Linked DNA regions of Lonchura striata. Each later gene encodes a partner of the first gene's protein in a complex. Links are inferred from orthologs where the notes say so. Each region holds a gene or a part of one and is shown in the gene's direction. Other genes may lie near its edges.

Region 1 (7,635 bases):
AATACAAATTTATGCTAAAAGAATTTGTAGAGGGCAAGGAGCAGAGGGAATGACAGAGACTGCCAGGGTGGATATTTTTGAAAACCATATGAATAAAAGGCAAGCAGTTCTGTTAGAAGTTGGCTCTTCTGTTTGGGATTTTTCTTCTATATTTTAGGAAGAAACCAAATGAAGTTGGATGATTTTATCAGCTGTATTACATTCAACCCTTTAGGCAGCAAATCCTGGAATACAGTTGTTAAATACTCTGGTGAAAAATCAAGCAAATTTTAATAGTTGGAATTGGAACTTGAGCATTGTTTATTTTTATGTTAAATAACAACCAAAAAAAAGGTACAAAGAAAAAATAATGTAATTTTACATGTTCCTGTACATCTGGCTCTTCTTCACAGACTTTCACTTTCCAGAATGCCTTTACTGCTTCCTCGCACCATGCAGCAGAGACACCAAAGCTGACTTTCACTGGATATTTATCGGGCTCCAAATTTTCTCTCTGTCTCAAACTTTATCTCAAAGTTTGCTCTCTGCTTCATCAAAATCTCATTAGATAGAAATTGTCACTCAAGAATATTTTACACATAAAATGTAGTCAAATATGCATTTAGGGGAAAATTTGTTACATTAATTTTCTGCATAATAAATCCTTTCAGGGACATTCAGGTAAATCTAAGTGCTTTTAGTCATGAACATTTCACTGATACTTTGTAAGACACAAATCCATATGGGGGAATGCAGTTAAACTCAAGAGACAACCAACATTGTTTCCATTCAAAATTGTAAAGGTTTAGTTAGCAAAATCAATTTCTGGTACCTTTCATATTTCATCTCATTTTAAGTGATATCTTGAAAGTGTTTGGTTTAATCTGACTTTACCTCTTGTTTATTGACCTGAAGTGAGGCAAGCTTGGATATTGCAATTCTGCAAAGGGCTATTCAGCAAATGTCTGGCTGTTACAGATCTCTAGTTTCCTTCTCAAGGGAAGCTGAAAGTAAATGCTTTGAGTATTGTTAATTCTTTATATATTAAAAAAAATATTTTTCTGTTACTGCAATCAAAATAAAGAGATATAAATATATAAAGATGGAAAACTTCTAGTTTTAAGATTCAGGCACTGAAATTGTATCATAAATATCTTAACTGTCTCTTTATGGCAGTTGGTGCTGGGGACTGCTCCCATTTTCTACTCAATTAAGGAGGAAGTTTTGTAGCATAATTACCACTGAGGTCCCACAAGTCCAACTGTTGTCACCAAACAAAACTTTTGCCTGCTCTGAAAACGCTTTACTGAGGCTAGGAGTGCTTCAGGCCATGAGCTCTGGTACAATGAAATTATCTGGGCTGCAGATCCCAATGTCCTGCCCAGGAGATGCACAGCAAATGTTGGTTGTGGGAAGATTCTCCTACCTGTATAAAAATCGTCCCTCATAAAAAACGACCACAGGCATCAAGATACCCTCACTGTCCTCCTGCCTGCAGTGGAAAACGTGGAAAACCTTGTGGCTCTGCTTCAATCCGTGTGGTTTATCCCAAAAAAAGCCTTTTTTCCTTTCTGCTGGCCGAGCAAAAAGAACATTATCCCGGGCTCTCCCGACTGGGAGCAGTGTTCCAGGAAAAGCTGTTTCACCACTGTAGGGCAGCACAGGACAGCACAATTCTGCTGTGCTGCAGCTCAGGTGCTGGGGTACATTCTCTGTATTGAACTTTGGAGTGCAGCAAATCCCTTGATTAGCACATAAACCACATCTAAACAAGGATTTTGTCTGTTGGAGATGCTGTAACTTATTTCTGAGCAGGGGGTTTTTGGCCTTTTTTACCAAGCAACGCATGGAAGACCATGTCATTTTTTTATACTGTTTTTCAGTTAGAAACAGAATGAGAATAAAGGACCTTTTAAATAATTAATCAGCAAAACTCCTGGCTGGTCTCCAAATCCCAGAACACAGCCTTACCCTCCCCTTTCTCCCAGTGAAACTCTGATCCAACTGAAGAGTGGGACTGGAGCTGAAGAGAGACAGAGGGACTGTTTCTCACATGATCTCACTAATGCCTCTCTCCTTGCCCGAGGCCTGATTATGTGATCAGTTTTCATTGTAGACTCGTCCCTGTTCATCTAATTCCTTGTCCTTCCCTTCCTTGAGGACCCTCTTGACCTGTTATCTTTGCTCAGCATCCTCAGGAAGGTCCCAGGGTGAGCACAGCGAGTGCTCTGCAGGTCCCGTTTTGTGGATGGGGAGTGTCACACTACGACACGAAATATTACTCACACAAACAGGCTGGATGTAAAAGGAGAGAAAAAGAACCAAAAAAAAGCAAACTTTATTTTCTGACTCTACTATATCTATAATATAGTAGAGTATAATATATATATAATAGCAAAAGTGACTGGATTGGAGGGTGAAACTGCCACCTCTCCAACCATACTGGTCACACCAAGAGTTCATCAATTCTCTCCACCCACAAAGAATAATGCAAAGCAATCATTGTTTATATGAACAGTGTGAGAAAATTCAGTAGAAATATGTAAAAAACAGAAGGCACAAGAAACTTTTCTAAGAACTTTAAAACTCTCAAAAGAACAGGGTGACAGGGGAGCAGTCACAGGCTGCCCTGCCTGCTTACAGAACAGCCCCACGACAGGGGATGTGGCTCTCACAGCACCTCTCCTCTGCCCAGAGATGCCCACTTTGCTCCAAAGTTATCCCTTCCTCCTTTTATTCTGTTTTGGTTTTGGTTTCTGTTTTCTTACTTGTCAGCTTTTCTATTCTACCATAACATTTCATCATTCCTATTGTGAAAAACACCCGTCACTTGGTTTTTAAAATTTTAAAAGTTTAGTAATAATAAAATGGTTATAAAAATAGTAATACAATTAGAGTAATAAAGTTTAGAGCGAGGACAATTACAAGACAATAAAAAGCAAAGAGCTACGGACGTCCGGATGCTCTCGGACACTCGGTCACGAAAAGCATCCCTTGTGAACAAAGGAATCACCCTTAAAACAATACACTTGTTGCATATTCATACATCCTTCATGGTTATGCATACATTCTATTTAAAACAAGAAACTCTGTCTGTTGTGTGTCAACTCTTTCCTTTAATCCCCATGGCGTCTTCGAGTCTGAGCAAGGCCTGAAGAAATTAGTTTCTTCTGGTAAGAAGCCATAAATTCCTTTCCTTTGGAAGATGTAGGTGTTCCTCGAAGCGAGTATCTCATTCCTAAAAAAAAAACTCCTCCCACATCTCTATTTTAACATTATGTTGGAACCTAAAACTATATTTAACACACTACTTAAGAGAATGAATACAGCATAACTTTCTAACATTACACATATAATATTCAGTGTAATATTTGCAAAAAGCCAATCACAAAATATGCATTTTTTACACTATCAATTTGCTGTTGTTTGACATCGCCCTCATGCTTCCATGTGAGTGAGGGAAGGAGTGAGGGAGGGAGGGCAGTGCTGTGTGTGCAGTGGCAACCAGAAGAGGAATAAATCCCTCAGAGAACACATCCCTTGGAGAACACATTGCTTGGATAACACATCACTTGGAGAGCACAAACCTTGAAGAACACAATCCCTGGAGAACACAACCCTTGGAGAACACAACCCTCGGAGAACACATTGCTTGGATAACACATCACTTGGATAACACAACCCTTGAAGAACACATCGCTCAGAGAATAAAAACTTTGGAGAACACAACCCTTGGAGAACACAACCCCTGGGAGAACACATCCCTAAGAGAATAAAACCCTTGGAGAACACAACCTTTGGAGAACACAACCCCTGGAGAACATATCCCTCAGAGAATAAAACCCTTGGAGAACACAACCTTTGGAGAGCACATCCCTCGGAGAACACATCCCTCAGAGAAGCCACCCCTTGGAACAACGCATCCCTTTTTTCCCTCTTCCCTTGCAATTCCCGTGCGGTTGCTGCTGCGCTGGGAGGCTCCGCAGGGCAGTTTGAGTTCACATTTACACTGGCTCCTTTCCCCTCAGAGCCGGGACGCCATGCCCCGCCGTACCGTCGCCCCTCAGAGCCGCGCCTCCATACCGTACCGCCGCCCCTCACAGCCGCCCCTCAGAGCCGTGCCTCACAGCCATGCCTCCATGCCGTGCCACCGCCCCTCAGAGCCGCCCCTCACAGCCGTGCCTCCATACCGTACCGCCGCCCCTCACAGCCGTGCCTCCATACCGTGCCGCCGCCCCTCACAGCCGTGCCTCCATGCCGTGCCGCCGCCCCTCAGAGCCGCCCCTCACAGCCGTGCCTCCATACCGTGCCGCCGCCCCTCACAGCCGTGCCTCCATGCCGTGCCGCCGCCCCTCAGAGCCGCCCCTCACAGCCGTGCCTCCATACCGTGCCGCCGCCCCTCACAGCCGTGCCTCCATGCCGTGCCGCCGCCCCTCAGAGCCGTGCCTCCATGCCGTGCCGCCGCCCCTCAGAGCCGTGCCGCCGCCCCTCACAGCCGCGCCTCCATGCCGTGCCGCTGCCCCTCAGAGCCGCCCCTCACAGCCGTACCTCCATACCGTACCGCCGCCCCTCACAGCCGCGCCTCCATGCCGTGCCGCCTCCCCTCGGAGCCGCCCCGCCGTGCCGCCGCCCCGCGCCGCCGCCATTGCGGCGCCCCGCCCGTTCCGGCGCGGGCGGACATGGAGGACGCCGATTACTTCGAGGGCAGCGCGGCCGAGTGGGGCAGCGAGGCGGACGGGGGCGCGGTGAGCCCGGGGGAGCGGGGCGAGGGATGGCCGCAGCCCCAGGCGTGTCCCGGGGCAAGCCCCGGGCACAGATCCGAGCGTTCCCCTGGCTCCGGAGCATCCTCCGGGAGCGTCCCGGGGCTGCGGGCTGAGGCGGCAGCGCCGCGTGTGTGAGGGCCGGGGCCGCGCCGGGCCCGGGATAAACCCTGCGGGTTTTTGTGCCTTCTCCCTTATTAATCGCTGTTTGTCGGGGTGCAGGTCGCTTGCGGTGCTGAGCCGAGGTGTGTGTGCTGCTGTGGGCAAAAACAGCCTGAAGTGGGAGTGTGGGGGGAGACGGGACAGGGAGGCTGACCTGACTGTGCTTGTGAGCAGCAAGATGATGAGGATGGGGAGGGAGAAGATGATGCCGAAGTGCAGCAGGAGTGCCTGAAGAAATTTTCAACACCTGATTATATAATGGAACCGTCTATCTTTAACACGTTAAAGAGGTGAGTGTGATTTGATGTGTGTTATAGGTGTCACTTCGTATAGAAACATATGCAAATCTATAAATGGTGCTGTTGTTTTCCCTTTAAATTTACACTTCTATTGAATTTTGGGTTTAATATGACTCAAATAGTCCTTTTGTAATCCTTTTATCAGATATTTCCAAGCAGGAGGGTCTCCAGAGAATGTAATTCAGCTTCTCTCTGAAAACTACACTGCAGTGGCACAGACTGTCAATTTGCTGGCAGAGTGGCTCATTCAGACAGGTATGATACAAGATACAGAGTATTTTGGGTCTATTTTCTGTCAGAAATGTCTGAATGTCTGGCAAATTTGATCATCCACAGGAAGTGGATTGTTATAAAGCCATCATCCAGTATGTGGCTAAATCCTTTATAATAATAGGTTTATTCCGCTTGGAGAATAATGAAGCAATATGTTGATGAAAGGCCAACAAACTATGTTATGAAAGGTTTTATAGTTGAAATAACTGCATAAATTATAGCTTCTTTTTAATTTTATTCAATGGGTAAGGGAGCTGTTATGTAGACAGTATAAGCAGAGTTTTTATCCTGTAATGGAATTAATTATGTAATCGTTATTACATTACCAGAATTATTATACTCTGATTTTAGAAATGTAGAACTACTCATTTTTACTTGTGTGTTATTTTTTATAATACTACCAAATCTACTGATAACCAATATTTAAAAGGATTAATTTTACTGTGTAGTAACATGGCTTTGTGCCCCAGCCCTGGTGATCCCTTTTTTGGTTAAGACACCCCCTGCATTTTGCTGTTACACCAGTAAGAGTCCTGGGGATGACTGGCAATGTTTTTTGTGTGTCTAATGAGGAAAGAGGAAGGTTGTGACCTGCCTGAGATCTTAAACAGTTCAGCATTTAGGAAAAAGAGGTGGAAAATCTGTAAATCTGTATAAGCGTGGCTCAGTAGTAGAACTGATGGCTCTCATCTCTGTGCTGATAAATTTTGGAGTAATTTCTGTTCTCACTGTAAAATGTGGGATGTCGCTGCTGTGTTCCACTGTACCACACTGCATGTGCCAAGTGTTTTGTTCCTTCTGTGCAGGTGTTGAGCCAATGCAAGTTCAGGAGACTGTGGAGAACCACTTGAAGAGCTTACTGATCAAGCACTTTGACCCTCGGAAAGCAGATTCCATCTTTACAGAGGAAGGAGAGGTGTGCATGCAATCCCTGTTGCTGTCCCTACAGAGAATCCTTCCTAGATGCCTTCATCTGATGGAATGGTGAAGGGAAGGGAAATTGAATCTTCAAAGCTCTTTAGCTGGTTTCAGACAACCAGCTCTGTCTCACTGGAGTCCTCAGAGGTTTAGAGAACTGGGAAATTTGGAATACATCCCCATTAGTTGTTCTACAGTAATAAAGCTCTGTAGAACAACTCACTGGACTGCTGAGAGGTAAAAGCCTTGCTTTTTATGATCTTGACAACAAAACATTCTTAAATTTCTCTCTGTTGCTCTGTTCTTTTCAGACTCCAGCCTGGCTTGAGCAAATGATAGCACATACCACGTGGAGAGATCTTTTTTACAAATTGGCAGAAGCCCATCCTGATTGTTTAATGCTTAATTTTACTGTGAAGGTACTACACTTAAGTCTAATGAGTAAGAATATCCATAGATAGCTAATTGTTCTGGCATCAATTATTAGGTGTTGCCTTGCTTGTATCTTTTATGTATTCCTGCTAATACTAATTAGTAAAAAGACTCCTTGGTGGGAGGACTTGTGCTACAGGTGGAGTAAGTGTAATTTCCCAGTTTGAAGTACTGCTTTTTCATTTTTTGTTGAGGTTGTTGGGGTTTTTCTCTTTTTTTTTCTTGTTTGTTTGTTTTCCTGTGATCTCTCAAAATTCTGTATTTCTGGTGCAGTGGAATGTCTCAGACAGTTTTGTATGTTGCTGTGATAAGAAAAGAATGTTATATTTTGGTGTGCTCTGCTACATTTTTTATTATTGTGCTTTATTTTTGCTACCTCTTTATTGGTTTCCTTTTCTGTAAACCACAATGTAAATGTGAATTCCAGTCAGTGTGTGCAGAGGTGAAACTTAGATTGTCTGTGTTCTTCTAGATTTGTTAGGATATCAGAAATAGAAATGCAAATAACACAAGATTTCTGTGATGTTTTTATTTTTATAGCTTATATCTGATGCTGGGTATCAAGGGGAAATAACCAGTGTTTCAACAGCATGTCAGCAACTAGAAGTATTTTCCAGAGTCCTGCGTACATCTCTGGCAACAATTTTAGATGGGGGAGAGGAAAACCTTGAGAAAAACCTCCCTGAGTTTGCTGTAAGTTTGGTTTTTTTCCCCCTTTTTATGTGGAAAAAGAATTGTTCTGCTTTCCAATTAGGAGATAGAGATCAGTGTAGGATTGTAGCCAATTTTGATGTCCTATAAAAGCTTATGAA
Region 2 (7,987 bases), on another chromosome or scaffold:
AAAGATAATAAAGAGGGAGAGAAAAAAGGAAATAAACTTATGGGTATTGGCAAACAAAGTCCCAGGGGGTTATGAAAAGGGAAGCATTCTTCCTTGAAAACTTCATGACTTCCTTGTGGAAGATCACAGCATTGTCTCAATGTGCCCTATGTCACAACCTGTAATACCCCTCATTTCAGCACAATTGCATTATGACAGCTACTGAAAGCATTATGCCTCCAGCAAAATAAGAATAGGATGCTTTACACATTCTATACCATGAGATGTCAAGTAACAGATGATCCAATGCAAGGCCTTTCTACCACTTGGCCATATCATCACAAGCAGAGACAATTTGAAGCACAGTGCATGGGCAAATATATGGATTTAAAACAACAAATTTATTTGTGTGCAACACTTTGTGTTTTAGGTCCTAGGGGTTTTTCAAAACCTCTAATGGTCTTTAATTTCACACATTGTTAGGTCTAATTAATGGTATTTGGACTGTTCACAGTGATGGTGTTCTTATTTATTAGAAGTAATTGAGAACTTAATTGAGCTCTGCATTCATAGTTTCATGTTTTAAATAACAATTTTAATTCTTCCTTTTGTTATATTAATCTATCTTAAATCTTACTAAAATCAAGAGTAAAAGAAAGACAATGGAAGAGGTGGCAGAGGCAACCAAACAGATGGGTGTTTCCTCAAGGATGGGACCTCTCAGGTAGGTGTCTCAGGTACAGAGACCTTAATGAAATTATTTTATCACTGCTGACCCTCAGTGTTCAGGCCCCATCAGCCACACATCAGAGCCCAGAGCAGGAGTGTACCAAGTTTAACTGCTCTAGAGCAAGACAGAAGGAAAAGTAGTCTTGATTTCAACCTCTTCCTCTTCATGGGCCTTTTTCATCATTGGCTTTAAGTCACTGCATCATTTTGAAGTTTATTTCAGAGGGAAAATAATCATAAAATCATGTGACTATATGTCTTGTGCTGCAAGAGGGTATGACAGCAATGTAAGCATAATCCTGGACACAGGCAGCTGGATGGAGCAGCATTGAAAAAAACATTGAAACAATTACTGCCCATCATGCCATGCCAATTCACACAACAAGAAGTACCAGGACATTTTTTGTAGCTTTTATCTTTATTTCTGCTGGAGGCTTTGCCTCCCAGAGAAAGGAGCTGACTGTGTCACAGCTAACAGAGGAGGTTCCCACAATGAAGCTTTGCCTTAGACTTGAGGAAGTCAGATAATCTGGTTTTATTTGAGTAAATTCTCAGCCCATGTGTTGTTTCAGATCACATTGCTACAGCAGTCTTAAAATGGGTCAAATAAAACTCCCACACAAAATGATGCACCCACACAATTGCATTAACCCATAATAAGCAGCATTTTACAAACTGAATTATAACTGTCTTTAAACTGATATTAAATACCATTTTATAAAATCATCTCCTGCTTAATAACAATTAACTGTGTACCTTAGACCCACTGAGAAACCTCTGTTGTCAGTTACCATAAAGGATATTAGACTTGTACTACTACCAGTTACTCCATTAGTGCCCCTGATACCTCTAAATGCTTAACCCCACAGTAAACTTATATGCCAGCCTGATATCAAAGGATAAAATTTATCTCCTTTTTCTGCTTTGAAAACATAGGAAACAGTGCTTTAAAAGCCTATTGAAAAGATGCGGTATTTAGAACTCAAGATACAAATATAAAAGTTCACAGAAAAGCTGTTATTCAGTCCTGATGGCAATGCTGGGGGAGCAGAAGGATAAATTATATGATAATACACAATCTACTGCTCTGTCTCCCTTCCTGGGCTGGCCCCTGTGAGCATGGCATGAATCACAGCCTAAAGCCCTGCTGGCTCAGACACTACCATACTTGCCATTGCAGGATGAGGTGCCAGTGGGAATGCAGTGCCACTGCTCATGCCAACGCCGTGTTTACTGCACATGCCTCAGCACTTCCTTAAAAACAGCAAAGCAGCTTCTTGTTCACTGAGAGATCAGAGCCAACACAAACTGAAAGCTCTGCCCATGAGTGTACCAGATGCTGTGCTGCTTTCCCTCGAGCCAGGAGAACTCCAGGCTCTACCCCTCAACATCCTGCTGGGTACAAGTAATGATGTTGAATCTGACACAGCACTCTGCTCTGGATAGCACAGGGCTAGATAGATAATATTTCAACAGGTAACAAGCTAAAACTGCAGGTTGGGAAATTCATGGAGCACTGGTTTTGGTGTGAGACAAAGCTTCACCTTTGTTAAAAGTATTATAAAGCAGATTCAAAGAAATTAACTCTTGCCTGTGCCTGGCTCTTTTTTCAATACTGTCATGACTGGGTGAGTGAATGACTCCAGGGTGTCCCCCTGGTCAATTTTGTGGCACACTCCACTCCCAACTTTTCTCAACAATTTCATATTCAACATCACCTCCTTTGAAATAGGGACCTGCAACTTACAGGAAAAAACATCTGCAGACAGTTATCTGTGCAATGCAACATCTTGAGGGATACAAAACATTCCAGAGAAATCAAGTACCCCTTTTCCAGCTCCAGAAATCCCTGAGGAATGAGCCTTTTTATATTTGGCATATCACTCTGAAAATCACTACCCAAGCTAAACAAAATTTAGGTTTAAAAAAAAAAAAAAAAAAAAAAAAAGCACTTAATTCCAACAGAAATTTAAGGTACAAGTAGCTGGCACAACAAAAGCTCTTACAGGAGGCTGGCACTTTGTCTTAATCTCCAGAGTGTCTGATACCTCTTCAGGTAAGAGCCAGAGGGACAAATCTGCAGGTGATAGGGCTGGAGCCAAACTGACCATGCAAATCCACACATCACAGAATAGGCTCCCTTCTCAAGTCACACTTCAGATAAAAGCACAAAAGTCATCACAGCAGCTCAGACTAGATGGCCATGTGGCTCAGTGCCTTAACACTGACAGTGTCTAAAAACAGATGCCTCGAGGAAAGCACAGGAACGGTGTGTGTGTAATAACCTTCCTTAGCTTCCATCAGCCTGCAGTTTGGCTCTCCTGAGAAAAGCAGCACCAAATCCCAGAATAACTTGAATAACTTTAGGGAATCAGAGCTACCCTTTCAAAGACAGCCAGTCCAGCCATCTGAACTGGTGGAGTTTGTGTCATCTCACAGAACCAGGTTAACTCTGTTACAGCCACTGCTTGAAGACAACCAGCTGTGCAAACATGTTCTGATTTACCTCCCCCAAAACAATTTTAAAAGGGGTTGGTTACTTTCTTGCACAATTAAAAGATGAGATAATCACTAGTTTTCCTTGCTTAATTAGATTTTTTATACTATCTCATGGATTTTACCCGATAGATAAGATTGTACCCAAGACTTACCAATACTGGTGCCTACCTTTAACAGCTATATGTAATTAATGGAGAGCAAAGGTTACTAGTGATAATTACATGTTGATTATATGACTAAGTGAATGCAATTCCTTTACAGCTACTTTTAAACCTTTTGCTTTAATTACTTTCCTGTTATATGAGGTTATATTCCTTTATATAAATATTCTGTAGCAAATTTAGTAATTTAGCTCAGCGTCTTAGATACAATGTTTTTTCTGTTCAAACCAACAGATACATAGGTATTTGTGGAGAAGTAATTCCCCCCCCAGCTACATAGTGAACTTACATATTGAGAAATCAACAGAAATTCTGGATATTTATGTGCTACACTGCCTCAGCTTTGATTTTGCTGTTCTAAAATATCAGCTCACTCCATACAAAAGTTCTGTCTTAAGTCAGATTTGAGTATAAATTGTTTGATGGTACAAAAAAAATGCATTATTAGGTATGGAAAAAGTCATAATGTACTAATATAGAATTTATTCACACAGAAACTCTTTGCCTCAAAATACTTCCACACTGACAGAAGTTATAGCACCCAAGAGCTGCAGTCACTCAGTAGCATGAACAAAAAAAGACTCCATGATGTACATTTAGATTGAATAGTAAGAAAAACATTTTCACTGAAAAGGTCGTTAAGCATTGGAAAGACTGCCCAGGGAAGCGGTAGAATCGCCATTCCTGGAAGTGTTCAAAAGTCTGGAGATGTGGCATTTGGTGACATGGTTTAGCGGTGGCCGGGTTGATGTTTGAATTCGGTGATCTTCGAGATCTTTTCCAACCTGAAGGATTATGTGATTCTATGAGAAAACATAGAGCACCTCGGCAACTATTGCTCTGTTCTCCCAGAGAAATCAGGTTGTAAACAATGTCTTTTAACGGCGGAATGTTGTAAAGAAAACGTTTTCATTCTAAAGCGTAGGAGAAAGATCAGCAGAATATGCTCCGCACTCTTGCAACTCCTGTACTTTAGTTTCAACCAGAGAAGCGCTAAAACGAACCGTTTATGCTGCACTTGAAAGCCCCCTGAATCTTCGGGGATTTAGGAAATTGATTCATTTTTTTCATATTTAAATAACAACGAGCCGAGTCGCTAGGGAATACGAATGCATGCGGTGCGGGTTTCTGCGCGCCTACCCCCGGCGCTGCAGCCACCGAGGGAAGCCCGCCATGGCTGCGGCACCCAGCACGCCAATCTCCGGGGAAACCATGGAGGAGATACTCGGCCCCTCCTCCGGGCTCCTCCGGGCGGGCAGGGCTGGCGGCTCTCTCGGAAGCCCTGGCTGAAAGCTTTTTAAGCGGGCATTAGCGCCGGGGAGCGGCGCTGGGCGGGAGCGCGGGCCGGCCGCCCCGCCGGGGCTCGGGGCTGTGAGGGAAGCAGACGTGGTGCTCCGGGGAGCGCTGCGCCGGGAGGCGCGGGGGCCAGCCCACCTCGGGCAGGAAGCCCTGCCTCCAACCCCGCCGCGGCTCGGCGGCCCGCAAGCGGTTCTCCTCCCATTTCTGCCCAGGAGGAGTCAGGGCGGACTGTGAGGGACAATGAGTTGGGGCTGACAGAGGAGCTTCTCTACAGTGAAGCGGCGCCATCTTGCTTTACGGACGGAAAGCTATGGCGGGCGCCATTTTGCATTTGGCCGAGAGATGAGACGCGCCTTATTGCATTCCGCCTCCTGGGCGCCGCCATTTTAGGTTACGGCATAGCCTCCGCCTTCCCAAGCGCAACCTCATTGGGCGCCGCCATTTTGGCTTACGAACAAGACGGCGACCCGCAGGGGTCCTCACCCCCTCCCTTCCTCCCTTTAGGTGCCTTCATAAAATGCCCGTCGAGAATCCCCTCTTTTTTCGCCCCGCTCCCAAGATGGCGTCGATGCGGGAGAGCGACACCGGCCTGTGGCTGCACAACAAACTGGGCTCCACGGACGAGCTGTGGGCGCCGCCGAGCATCGCCTCGCTGCTCACGGCCTCGGTCATCGACAACATCCGTCTCTGTTTCCACGGCCTTTCCTCGGCCGTCAAGCTCAAGCTGCTCCTGGGGATGCTGCACCTGCCCCGCCGGGCGGTGGATGAGGTGAGAGCCGGGGGGGAGTCGCAGCGAAGCGGGGCGCGCGTGTGTGTGAGGGGGAGAGGTCGGGGATGGCGTGAGGGGAGAAAGGGGGGCAGTGCCGGCACAAGTCCCCCGCCCGCCCTTTATTTTCCACACGGCGCTGCGGGGAGGGCGAGCCCCGGGCTGCCCGCGGGGCGAAGCCGAGCGGCCGCAGCCCCTCAGGGCAGGGGCGTGGGGTAGCGCTGGTCCCCACAGCCTTCCCCGCCGCTCCCTCGCAGCCTTCCTTGCAGGGGCAGGAGTAAGTGAAGAAGGTCTCCCGACTCGCTTCCTCGGTGCGAGGAAGAGCGCCGAGATTCCCCGCGATAAGGGAGTGAGTGGAGTGGGAGCTTTGCTGCTGCTCCTCCTCTTCCTGCTCTTCGGGGATTCCCTGGTTGGCACTAGGTTTTTGAAAGCAGTTTGGACATGAAACCCACTGTGCGACCCACAGGGACTCATTGTAGGGCTGTGTTTGGGGTGCCTTTAAGGGAAGAGGGCTTTTCTGAGGCAGTGGCTGTGCGGTGGCTGGGAGAGAGGCAGGATCGTGTAGGAGCAGTCGTGTATGTGTTCAGCTTCCTCCACTCCTTCCTTAGTACTGGCAGCTGTGCAGGTGTCACAGGTCGAGCATCTCGCTTCAGGGAGGACAGCAGCAAGTGCTGAAACTTTGGGAGTGGAAGATCTGGGGTCTGCACTGAGCAGTGCTTTTCCCCACCCTGCTGCAGTCAGGTCTTGATTGGGGAAAATTGCCATGCTTTTTGTTTCCCTCCCTTTACCTTTTTGGGAACAGTTGGTGCTTTCCTCTGTTGTCCTACCCCAGTTAATAAACTGGCTGGCTCGAATCTGAGCTGGCTCTGCAGGCTTTTCACTTGGCCCTGGACCATACCTCATCTGCACCTGGCTTATTCTTACCGGTAGGCAGCTGCAGATGTTTGGGGCAATAGCTGGAGAATGTCTGAAAATCTCAGGTTTCTTTAGCCGGATTGGAGGAATTCCTCTCCTGCTTCCATCATGTAAAGTAGTATTTCCTTGTGACGATCATGGAAGTGGTGTGGGGTTAGTTTTCACCTTCCTCTGTAGAGTATCCTCAGCTGTGCTTTCACCAGTCTCTTTCTTGGCTAAGATACAGCTGCTGCTTAAGCTTAATATACATGTATACCAGGCAGGGTGTAGTATGTAACTTGGATTGATGTGCGCTCAGTTTTTGTGCACTTCTAGGCTGAAAATGGGCAAGCATCACCTTCAATAAATAATTTAGTGTATGACAGTGTTTGTCTTGCCACATGTATCTGTATGATTCTTAACTGTGGTACACTGGTGTCACTTTAAAAAAAAAATCTAGTTCAGCATGTTTATGCTAATTTTTAAAATATGATAGTCATGTTTAGTGCCTGTCCAGTGAACAAGCTGTCATCCTTGTGGGTGATAAATGGGGTTGTGTTCTGGACAAACAAAATAATCAAGGCCAGAAAGGGGGATGGGAGCTCGTGTGAACTTGTGAGTTTGCAAAATTCTTGTGACCTTAGTGTGAACATCCAAGTAGCAAATTAGTATGGCAGTGTTTAGAAAAATCAGTGGTGTTTTTAGATTGAAAAGAGCTTCAAAGAGCTTAAGGACTTTCATAAATAGCACTCATGGCAACTCTTTGAGGGAGCAGCATTCAAACAAACAAACTGAAATAATTTGAGATGCTTCAAGAGTGTTCACTAGGTGAACGTTTTAAACCAAACCCGAGGAAGAGCTGCCTGCAGCTTTCCTGGATCTGTGATTGTGTTAGCCGTGGAGATGAAGTGTGTGTAGAGAAAAGCCAGTCAGTGTGCCTTTTACTGTGTACTTAAAGTGATCTGTTGTGTTCCAAATGTAAAGCTCTTGTTCCTGCTGTAAGAAAATACTGTGGGATTTTTCAGTTTGGTAGAGTTAATGAATTCAATCATAAGCTTAATCTTTTATTGTAAACTGATGATGATTGATTGAGATCTACCCTTAGCATCTTTAATTGTTTCAGGAACATGAGATTTTTTTGCCTTAAACTGGGTGAAGGGCCTTAAATAAAGGTTAAAATAGTAAAACTCCTGAGGCAGAAACCCTTAACATTGTTGGTAGGCCTGTTATTATTATTACAGGCTTCCTTCTATAGATGGTAAAAATAGCTGATGTAACCAAACTGCTGACAGAAAGGACTGTTGTCTTATCAGATGCTCATCATTTGTGGTTAGTTTGCTAAGATAGTTTTATTTGTGCAAATTTGTCACCTAACTTAGTATCAAAATATTCAGTGTTTTAATTGTCAGAGAGTACCTTGCACACAATATCCAGCAGATAGATAAATATGTCTGTGTCCAGAATGGCTGTGCTGTGCACATCTCTCTGCAGCAGCCTTTGCTTGTGTGTTGGAAGTCACCCCCATGTCTGAAAATGATTAAACTGAACTATGAGAGTGCTTAATTATTCTCTTTGGAAAGTCATATGTCTTTGCCATGCCATGTGCCTGTGTCTGTATCGATCGAGTGCGAGAAGCACCGAGCTGGCATTTGGAAGCCTA
Region 3 (8,061 bases), on another chromosome or scaffold:
AAATGGGAACACCTAAAGGCAAGCTGAACTCATTTTGTGCTGTCAGATGCGATATAGGGAATTGGAGTTTTGCAGCTCTCTTGTCCTGGAGCTACCCCACTTACTGCCCAGGGCACAGTCAGGAGGAGGCCAGGAGTCCTCCTCTTCTCCACAGTCAGGAGAAGATACTAGGAGTCATCCTGCAGTCAGATTTGTCTCCATTGCTGTTCACTGCCTCTCCTGGGTGAGAAGCTCCAGCAACCTTGGCTCTATCACTGATCCATGTGCACATCAAGACAAGCCACATCCTCTCTGCATGTTTCCCTGCCTGCAGCAGCCCCAAAATCCTGACACCTGCTACTGCCAAGGGCCTGATGTGCAACTGTGTGTGGCTAAATCCACCCAGTCGAGAAGAGTTATGCTGAAAATAAGCAACTTGTGCTTTACTATTTCTGTGCACAGCTGGGGGAGCCAAGGAATTTATGGCACTGGTCCATGCACAGGTCTCTGTTTTTCCATCCATCCCATGCCAGTTGCATGGACCATTGAGCAGGAAATGGGCACCTTACCTTGCACAGGGCAGGAGCTGCATCCTCTGATCACCCCGGTCTTGTTTGCCTTGGTGGTTGTCCACTGGTAGATGAACAGGATGGTGCGGGATGGGCCAGCATCCAGAACAATGCCATACTGGAAGAACCCCAGAACATTCTACTGAAAAACACTAGTGAATGCATGCTGACTGATTCTGTAGGGTTACCAAGCATATATAGGTATTCTGGGTCTGCACTGCAGTGCTTGAGTTTGCTTGTGACATTCAAAGAGCAGGTGAAGCCAGAACATGATGAGGATTTGCAGGGAACCATCTGCGTTTCTGAATATATATGAGGAACAGCAGGAGTGAAGAAACGCCCAGAAATACATCAGCCCTACAGTGGCATGCACTGGAGCTGCTCCTGAAACCAGGCAGAGGGCTTCCCCTGAGAGCTGAGCCACCTGGAGCTCAGGAAAAACAGGTCCTAAAGCAGTGGGAGATGGCACTGTTCTCCACTGATTCTGGGACTCAAACTGCTGCTGGTTGGTTTGCTCAGGCTTTTGTGCAGGAATTGGAGGGCTGCAGCTGACTTTTCCCAGGAAACCCAGGACTCCTGTGTCTCTTTGATGTCCCACTGCAGTGAGGGTGTGACACAGGCTTAGGTTTGTGTGCAGAGCTGTAGGAGCTGCAGCAACCAGCACAGACGCTGTTCAACACAGCAGCCCCTCAGAGACAGAGATGATGTCTTGGCAGGAAGAGCAGCAGCAGTAGACATGATCAGCTCACCCCTTGTCCCCGGGCAGCTCTGCTATTGCCCAAACCAAGGGCTCTCTGTCTCCTTGTCCCCAGTGTTTGTTTGCTGCTGACCAAGCCTTGCTGCTTCCAGAATATGAAGGAGAGCAAGGGGAGGCCACTGGACTACCCTGCAGCACAGGTCTGGCTGTCCCCACACCCAAAATAGCTCCAGAGCTAACCTAGGGCTCCTCTGCTCCTCTTACATGACCCCAGTTTGGGACATCTCCTACACAGACAGGAAGAAAACTCATGAGCTGCATGCTAGTGCGTGGTCAAAGCTGGATCTCACACACAAATAGAGCTGTGACTGAGTGGGAGGAGAAACCTCCTGAGAGGTTGATGTTAATGCCACCAGAAGGGTTTCAGCACCAGCCAGAGCTGGCTGCAGGCTCTGAGTGAGGCTGGCTGCCTGCTGCCCTCCTGGAGCTCCCAGTTGCACCAGTCCTGGCAGCCAGGCCAGGGGCTGGTGGGGCTGGGCTGGAGCAGCAATGCGGAAGGAGGCTGGAGCTCCCTGCCCCAGCCTGCTGGCACCCTCCCACACCAGTGACAGCTCGGATTTCTAGCAGGGACATGTTGGCTGCTGCAGAAGAGGAAGAAAGGAATGGCATTGGTGGAGAAACGTGGAATTTTTTTTCTCCTTCAGAAAATTAGAGGCTGCTGCTGAGAGCCCAAGGGAGAAGGGGAGGGATCACCACATTTATGCCCAGCTCAACACCAGGAAAGGACAGAACAAGGAGCAATAAGAGGGGTTTTAACTGAGTTTTGTTTCTGAGAGGAACATGGAGGAGGGGTGCTATTTCTAAACACCCAGGATAGCCTCCTTCTGTTGGGTGGAACCACGGTGTGCCACTGAGCTCACCTCAGCAATGGGAGCATCAAGAGACAGAGCAGGTGAGCATTAACCCCCCAAGACCTGACCCAGCTGTGAGGAGCACACCAGCTCTTTGACTGAAATCAAGACAGGACCAAAGAGAAGAAGGCATGAAAGACAATTTGTTTTTAAGACAGAAGCAGCAGTTCAGGGGCACATTCCTACTGACTTTTGAGAGGGACCTAGCTCTTTCCCTGCACTGACACCACTGGTTCCTTGTTGCTCTGGGGCAGCTCCTGACATGGGCTGCCTCCCCTCAGCCTGCCCTGAGCATCTCCACTGATCCATGGACCATATCCAGCCCGCATTCCATGACCAATCAAAGGAGGGGGCTTGTTTCTGGTTTGAAAACCTACAGCATGTTGAAAGACGCCAACCTGTCCTGACAGTCTTGTTTCAGTTCCCTCCTCGGTTTGTAAGTAGCTCAATAATAAAATTATGTCAAAAGCAACAAAACAGCCCAGCTTAGCTGCCTGTCTCCCCCCTGGAGAGCCCTTACCTTGGTCCTGAGTGGGGCCACGGGCACATCTTTGGTGGAGACACAGAGCAGCACGATGCCCGTCAGCCCCGCTACGATCACCAGCCAGGGGGGAAGCAGCTCTCGCCAAGACATGAAGAGTGTTCTCCTTTCACCAAAGAGGAAGCAGTGGAGCAGCAAACCGGCTGCTTTAATAACCTTTAAAAAGAGCAGAAAGGCGTGGCCAGGGCCCGGCTCTGACTTCAGCCCAGCCCCAAGCCACAGGGACCACAGGGACGCGTGGGCCTGGCTGTGATGTGTCAGGGAGCTCTGCTTTCCCTTCCATCCCTGCTGCCCATAAATAACAGGAGGGCTCTGTGCCCATCCCTGTGCGAGCTGTGCAGCAGCACCGCTGCAACCTCGAAACTGCCCCAGGCAGCGGGGTTGAGGTAAACACAAATGTGGGGTTAACTCAGCAGAAGGCAGGCAAAACTCATCCCTTTGGTATTCCACATCTGGCAGCGTGAGCTTTCAAATTAGAAGCTGGGGAAACTGCTTGTTATTGGATTTACTTTGTTTCTGAGGGCATGAGCCTCTCTGACAGCCTCCCTGTGGAAAACAACCAAGGCTCAGGCTTCTTGAAACACACGCCTGCTTTCTCCTGACAGTGCCACAAAGTCTCATCCCTGCAAATGGAAATTCAGAAGAAAACTCCATGGCTGCTTGCACTGAGGCATTTGGCTGATTGCTCATGTCCACAGACTGGTCATAGATCTGAAGGTGAAACCAGGAATAGGGAAAGGCCACATCTCTGTTTTTGGTGGTTTCCTCTTTTCATTGCTGTCTGCCCATGAGGAAGCCTCAGACACCCCCAGGAACTTGGAAGTGACCCATGTAATAAATAAAAAGGTTTAAAAAGGAAAAAAGGACTATTAAAAAAAAGTCAAAGTGGGAGGGCGTGCACCATGATAGAGAAGAGACTCCCCAGCTGCCCAGCGCTGCCTTTTGCTTAATACCACTTGCTTAATAAATTCTTGTTAATTAATTTATCTATAATTAGCCTCCCCAATTGAATTTGTCCATAACAACCCACAAGGATCGAGTCCAACCCTTAGCCTTGCATAGGACACTCCCAAGAGTCCCACCATGTGGAAGCTCCTGGAGCAGGGCCTGTGGAGAGCTGCAAAGTTGGCCAAGGCTCTGGAACATTTCCCTTGTGAGGAGAGGCTGAGGGAGCTGGGTCTGTTCAGCCTGGAGAAGAGACAGCCCAGAGGGGACCTCATCAGTGTGTATGGGTATCTAAAGGGGGGTGTCCGAGCATGGACCAGACTCTGCTGGTGCCCAGCAGTGGACAAGAGGCAGCAGCTGACACCCAGGAAGCTCCACCTGAACATGGGGAAGAATTTCTTTGCTGTGGGGGTGACCAAGCTCTGAACAGGCAGCCCAGAGAGGGAGTGGAGTCTCCCTCACTGGAGATATTCCAGAACCGTCTGGTTATGTGTAGTAAACATAATTAGCGCCATTCCTTGTATGAAATGTGTAATATTGGATACTTGTTAGATTCTGCTCGTTTGTATTAGGCCCCCCACCCTCGCAGGTGAGACTGGGTGTATATTAGAAACTGATTTACAAGTAAAAAGATGTGGCTTGGCCAGGAGATGGGGATGGGCCATGTCTAGAGAGATTTGGGGACCCCAGGTGCTGATCATGGCGTGAACGACCCGGGATGGATCTCATGGAAATCCTCCGGCAGATCCATGGGAATGCAGCGTTCCCGTAAACTTCATCAAGGGATTCACCAACTCCTGGCACTGAATTGTTCTTCATCCCCAAAAAAGAAAATCTCATTAACCTATGGGCTCTGAATGGAAGAAAAGACTGATTGCTGAACTCTTGGCCTCAGGTGGAATTTTCCCTATAAAAACCGCTTGTGCCAGGCTGGAGGTGTGTGGGCACAGAGGAAAACCTCTGCTGGGGCTGACTCCTTGTGGCACACCCAGGGCTGACCCCGGGCTCGGCTCTGTTCTTTCCTTGTGGCTGGCTAGATAGAATTTGATTGCAAAATAAATATTTTATATTTCATTTTAATTTGGCTGGACAAATTTTCATTTATAACAGTCTGAACACAATCCTGCGCCGTGTGCTCTGGGATGACCCTGCTTGGAAAGGAAGGTGGGGCTAGATGACCGTCTATGATCCCTTCCAGCCCGAACCATTCCGTGATCGCATGTGCTGTCCAAAGGCTCCCTGAGCCCCATGCGCCCTGCCTGGCGCTCAGCCGAGCCGCACCGAGCTCCTCGGGCCGCGGGGAGCCCGGGGCAGCCGCCGCGGAACCTTGGTGCGGCGGAACCTCCGTGCTGCGGCGCGGGGCCCGCCCGCGGGGCGGCTTGGGGCGGACCGCGCGGAGCCGGGGCGGGAGCTGAGGCGGGACCGGGAACCGGATCGGCACCGGGATCGGGATCGGGAATAGGGCCGGGAACAGGGCCGGGAACGGCACCTGGAGCGGCCCCCGCGCCCGGCCGGGCCGACATGTACGCGGGGCTGCAGGAGCTGGGAGTGGCCAACGGCGAGGACCTCAAGGAGACCCTGACGAACTGCACGGAGCCGCTGAAGGCCATCGAGCAGTTCCAGGTGCGCTGGGGCCGTGTGGGGCCGGGCCGTGCGGGACAGCGAGCACGGGACGGCCCCCAGCGCCCTCTGGGCTTTTCCTGGCTGTATTTGTAATCCCGAGTGCCGTTGTCATTCCCTCGGCGGGTTGTGTTGCAGACGGAGAACGGGGTGCTGCTGCCCTCGCTGCAGTATGCCCTGCCCTTCCTGGACCTTCACGGCACCCCCCGGCTCGAGTTCCACCAGTCCGTGTTCGATGAGCTGCGGGAGAAGCTGCTGGAGAGAGTCTCTGCCATCGCTTTGGAGGGGAAGGTCGAGGAGAGGTTTGTCAGCAGCCTCCTGGGAGTTCTGTGTGAAAATACAGTGGGTGGGTGACTTCTCTAAAGGAGAGTTGGGCTCTTCAGGGTCCGAGTTCCAGTGGCTTTGAGGTGGCCACTTCGTTCCTTTACTGCTGCGTGGTACCTAGTCTCATGTTTTCCCATGATTTCAGATACAAGAAGCTGGAAGATCTCCTAGAGAAGAGCTTTTCCCTGGTCAAGATGCCCTCGATACAGCCCGTGGTCATGTGTGTCATGAAGCACTTGCCCAAGGTGGGACCACTGCACTGGTTGGCCTGGTGTGATGTGGTATGTCACTGGTGTGACATCTCTGGTGTGACATCTCTGGTGTGACATCTCTGGTGTGACGTCTCTGCTGTGCCTCTGGCAGGGAGGCTCTGCTCCCTCTGCTCCTTCTGCAAGTGTGTTTTTCAGTGTCAAGAACTGACTGAGGATTCAACACATTCTTGTATCTGCTAATAGCTCAGTGGACTAATTCAAAAAGCCTTTCACATTTTCATTATCAGACGAGACTATTTCCCTATTTTCTTCAATCCATGCAGCTTCCTAAAAAGTCAAGTTTGCTGATAGGTGAATTTTTCCACAACTGTTTTGCAAATCTTTGACAAGTGGAAGGTAAGGCTTGAAAAGTGCAATTAAAAGTAGGCAGGAGGGAGAATCAGGTCTGTGAAACAAAAATCCTTACTAAAAGCATCATGTTGCACTCAATGTAATGGACTCAAAACACTGCTGGAACTTCAGTAAATTACTGAGCTTGGAAACATCACCTCAAATCTCAGCACTGGAGATTTAAAGTAGACCTTTTTTCTTCTTTGAAAGAATCAAGGGTGTGTGATTTGGGTGTTGAAGTCTCTTAGGGCTGGTCTACTGCTACACCAGGTGGGTGAATGCCCAGACTGCCTGAGGTGGGGATCACGGCATGGAGAGGATTGCCTCACCTTGAGTCCTGGGGCTGTTTGGGCACAAGATGAAAAAACATCTAAAGCTGTTGGAAAATGTTAAAAGGATGGTGCAGGGTGTGGAGGGGCCCGTGAGGAGCAGCTGAGGGCACTGGGATGGTTCAGCTGGGGCAGGCTGAGGGCAGAGCTCCCCGGGGCTGCAGCTCCTCCTGGGGCAGCTCCAGCTCTGCCCTGGGACAGGGACAGGAGCCAGGGCACGGCTGGAGCTGGGCCAGGGCAGCTCAGGCTGGAGAGCAGGAAAGGTTCTTCCCCCAGAGGTGCTGGCACTGCCCAGGCTGCCCAGGGAATGGGCACGGCCCCGAGGCTGCCAGAGCTCCAGGAGCCTTTGGCCAGCGCTGCCAGGGATGCCCAGGGTGGGATTTTGGGGGTCTGGGCAGGGACAGGGGCTGGGCTGGATAATCCTTGTGGGTCCCTCCCAGCTCAGGAGGTTCTCTGATTCCATGATTTAGATGGTTACATGGACAGGCAGGGAGGTGAGGTGCTGCTCACTCTGTACCTGCTCTGTGGATTGCAGGTCCCTGAGAAGAAGCTGAAGCTGGTGATGGCTGATAAGGACCTGTACAAGGCCTGTGCTGTGGAGGTGAAGAGGCAGATCTGGCAGGACAACCAGGCTCTCTTTGGGGATGAGGTGTCACCCTTGCTGAAGCAATACATCCTGGAGAAGGAGAACATTCTCTTCAGCAATGATATTTCCTTCTTGCAAAATTTCTTCAGTCCATCTCCCAAAACGAGACGTCAAGGAGAGGTAAGGACAAGGAAACCCTCACAATGTGCTGGTGAGGGGAATTACCAGCTTTCAGTCAACCATCACATAAATAACCTGAGCTGTTTTTTTCTGCCCATCTTCACTGCTGCAGTTGTTTAGCTGAACAAACTCTTTGCAGGAAGCACCAGGCCATTTTCTCCTGCACATTTTGATAAAAGCAGGAGGAATTATTTTAATTGTTGTGTAATAAATGATGAATGTTCTAAGTTGTTTATACACTTCAAAAAAAGAAAGGGCAGATTTTTTCTCTGGTGGTCAGTCTGGTTTTAATACACTTCAGCTGTTCTGAAGGCTGAACATCTCTTACCACATCAGTTTGATTATGCTGATATGTTAAATTCGCTTTCTTAGGACTTTTTTTAGTAGATGTATTTCAACTGAAGTTGCTTTTTTTAAAAAAAAACTATGTAGAAAGTTGTAGTTAATTGGCATCCGGAAAAGTTGAATTAAATTAAGGCAGTATAGTTTTAATTTCAGAGAGCACAGCACATCTGTTACATGAGGGTTTGTTTTAGGCTTGTTTTGCTTTCAGAATCATTTGGTGTAAATGCCCTTGTGCAATTTACTCCAGGTTTGCACTGCAGAGTTGTGCTTTAACCCCAGCTGGACATTCAGCACCACACCTCCACTTGGTCACTCTCCTTGAGGGGATGGGGGGAGAATCAGAAGGGTAGAAGAAAGAATCTGTGGGTTGGGACAAAACCAGGTTATGGCAGCTTTTGGTTTTTGAAGATCTGGTGAACATCTCTTGAACAAA

Evidence for each region.
Region 2: the proteins of NELFCD (region 1) and NELFA are in contact, whole or in part, in a crystal structure (PDB 5L3X), measured with the Homo sapiens proteins. The link is inferred for Lonchura striata from reciprocal best matches to the Homo sapiens genes NELFCD and NELFA. Residues at the interface, in XP_047296144.1 of Homo sapiens: Cys204, Gln205, Gln206, Leu207, Glu208, Phe210, Ser211, Leu214, Arg215, Leu218, Ala219, Ile221, Leu222, Asp223, Gly225, Glu226, Cys241, His242, Gly243, Glu244, His245, Thr246, Tyr247, Leu248, Phe249, Ala252, Met253, Ser255, Val256, Leu257; in NP_005654.4 of Homo sapiens: Leu23, Trp24, Ala25, Leu54, Leu58, Leu61, His62, Arg65, Pro88, Trp89, Met92, Val93, Ile96, Leu97, Phe100, Gly104, Ser105, Leu106, Leu108, Leu110, Asn116, Val117, Asp119, Ile120, Leu121, Glu123, Leu124, Arg125, Lys127, Val128.
Region 3: the proteins of NELFCD (region 1) and NELFB are in contact, whole or in part, in a crystal structure (PDB 8JJ6), measured with the Homo sapiens proteins. The link is inferred for Lonchura striata from reciprocal best matches to the Homo sapiens genes NELFCD and NELFB. Residues at the interface, in XP_047296144.1 of Homo sapiens: Arg63, Ile66, Met67, Glu68, Pro69, Ile71, Phe72, Leu75, Ile89, Gln90, Leu92, Ser93, Tyr96, Thr97, Ala98, Val99, Ala100, Gln101, Thr102, Val103, Asn104, Leu105, Leu106, Trp109, Leu110, Gln112, Thr113, Gly114, Val115, Gln121; in NP_056271.3 of Homo sapiens: Met49, Leu53, Leu56, Val58, Ala59, Asn60, Gly61, Leu64, Lys65, Leu68, Thr69, Leu75, Ile78, Glu79, Phe81, Gln82, Glu84, Asn85, Gly86, Val87, Leu88, Leu89, Ser91, Leu92, Ser94, Ala95, Leu96, Pro97, Phe98, Leu99.

Annotation. Positions count from the first base shown.
Region 1 is NC_134619.1:3,738,041-3,745,675, forward strand, and holds the start of NELFCD (negative elongation factor C/D), read left to right. Parts: upstream 1-4,617; 5' UTR 4,618-4,658; coding exon 4,659-4,724; intron 4,725-5,075; coding exon 5,076-5,191; intron 5,192-5,345; coding exon 5,346-5,455; intron 5,456-6,279; coding exon 6,280-6,389; intron 6,390-6,702; coding exon 6,703-6,810; intron 6,811-7,363; coding exon 7,364-7,516; intron 7,517-7,635. UniProt on the Homo sapiens protein: Essential component of the NELF complex, a complex that negatively regulates the elongation of transcription by RNA polymerase II.
Region 2 is NC_134606.1:8,449,657-8,457,643, reverse strand, and holds the start of NELFA (negative elongation factor A), read left to right. Parts: upstream 1-4,896; 5' UTR 4,897-5,184; coding exon 5,185-5,436; intron 5,437-7,987. UniProt on the Homo sapiens protein: Essential component of the NELF complex, a complex that negatively regulates the elongation of transcription by RNA polymerase II.
Region 3 is NC_134624.1:4,222,703-4,230,763, reverse strand, and holds the start of NELFB (negative elongation factor B), read left to right. Parts: upstream 1-5,025; 5' UTR 5,026-5,163; coding exon 5,164-5,265; intron 5,266-5,400; coding exon 5,401-5,564; intron 5,565-5,731; coding exon 5,732-5,831; intron 5,832-7,052; coding exon 7,053-7,283; intron 7,284-8,061. Other genes in the region: ectonucleoside triphosphate diphosphohydrolase 2-like, read right to left, coding at 549-666, 2,677-2,790. UniProt on the Homo sapiens protein: Essential component of the NELF complex, a complex that negatively regulates the elongation of transcription by RNA polymerase II.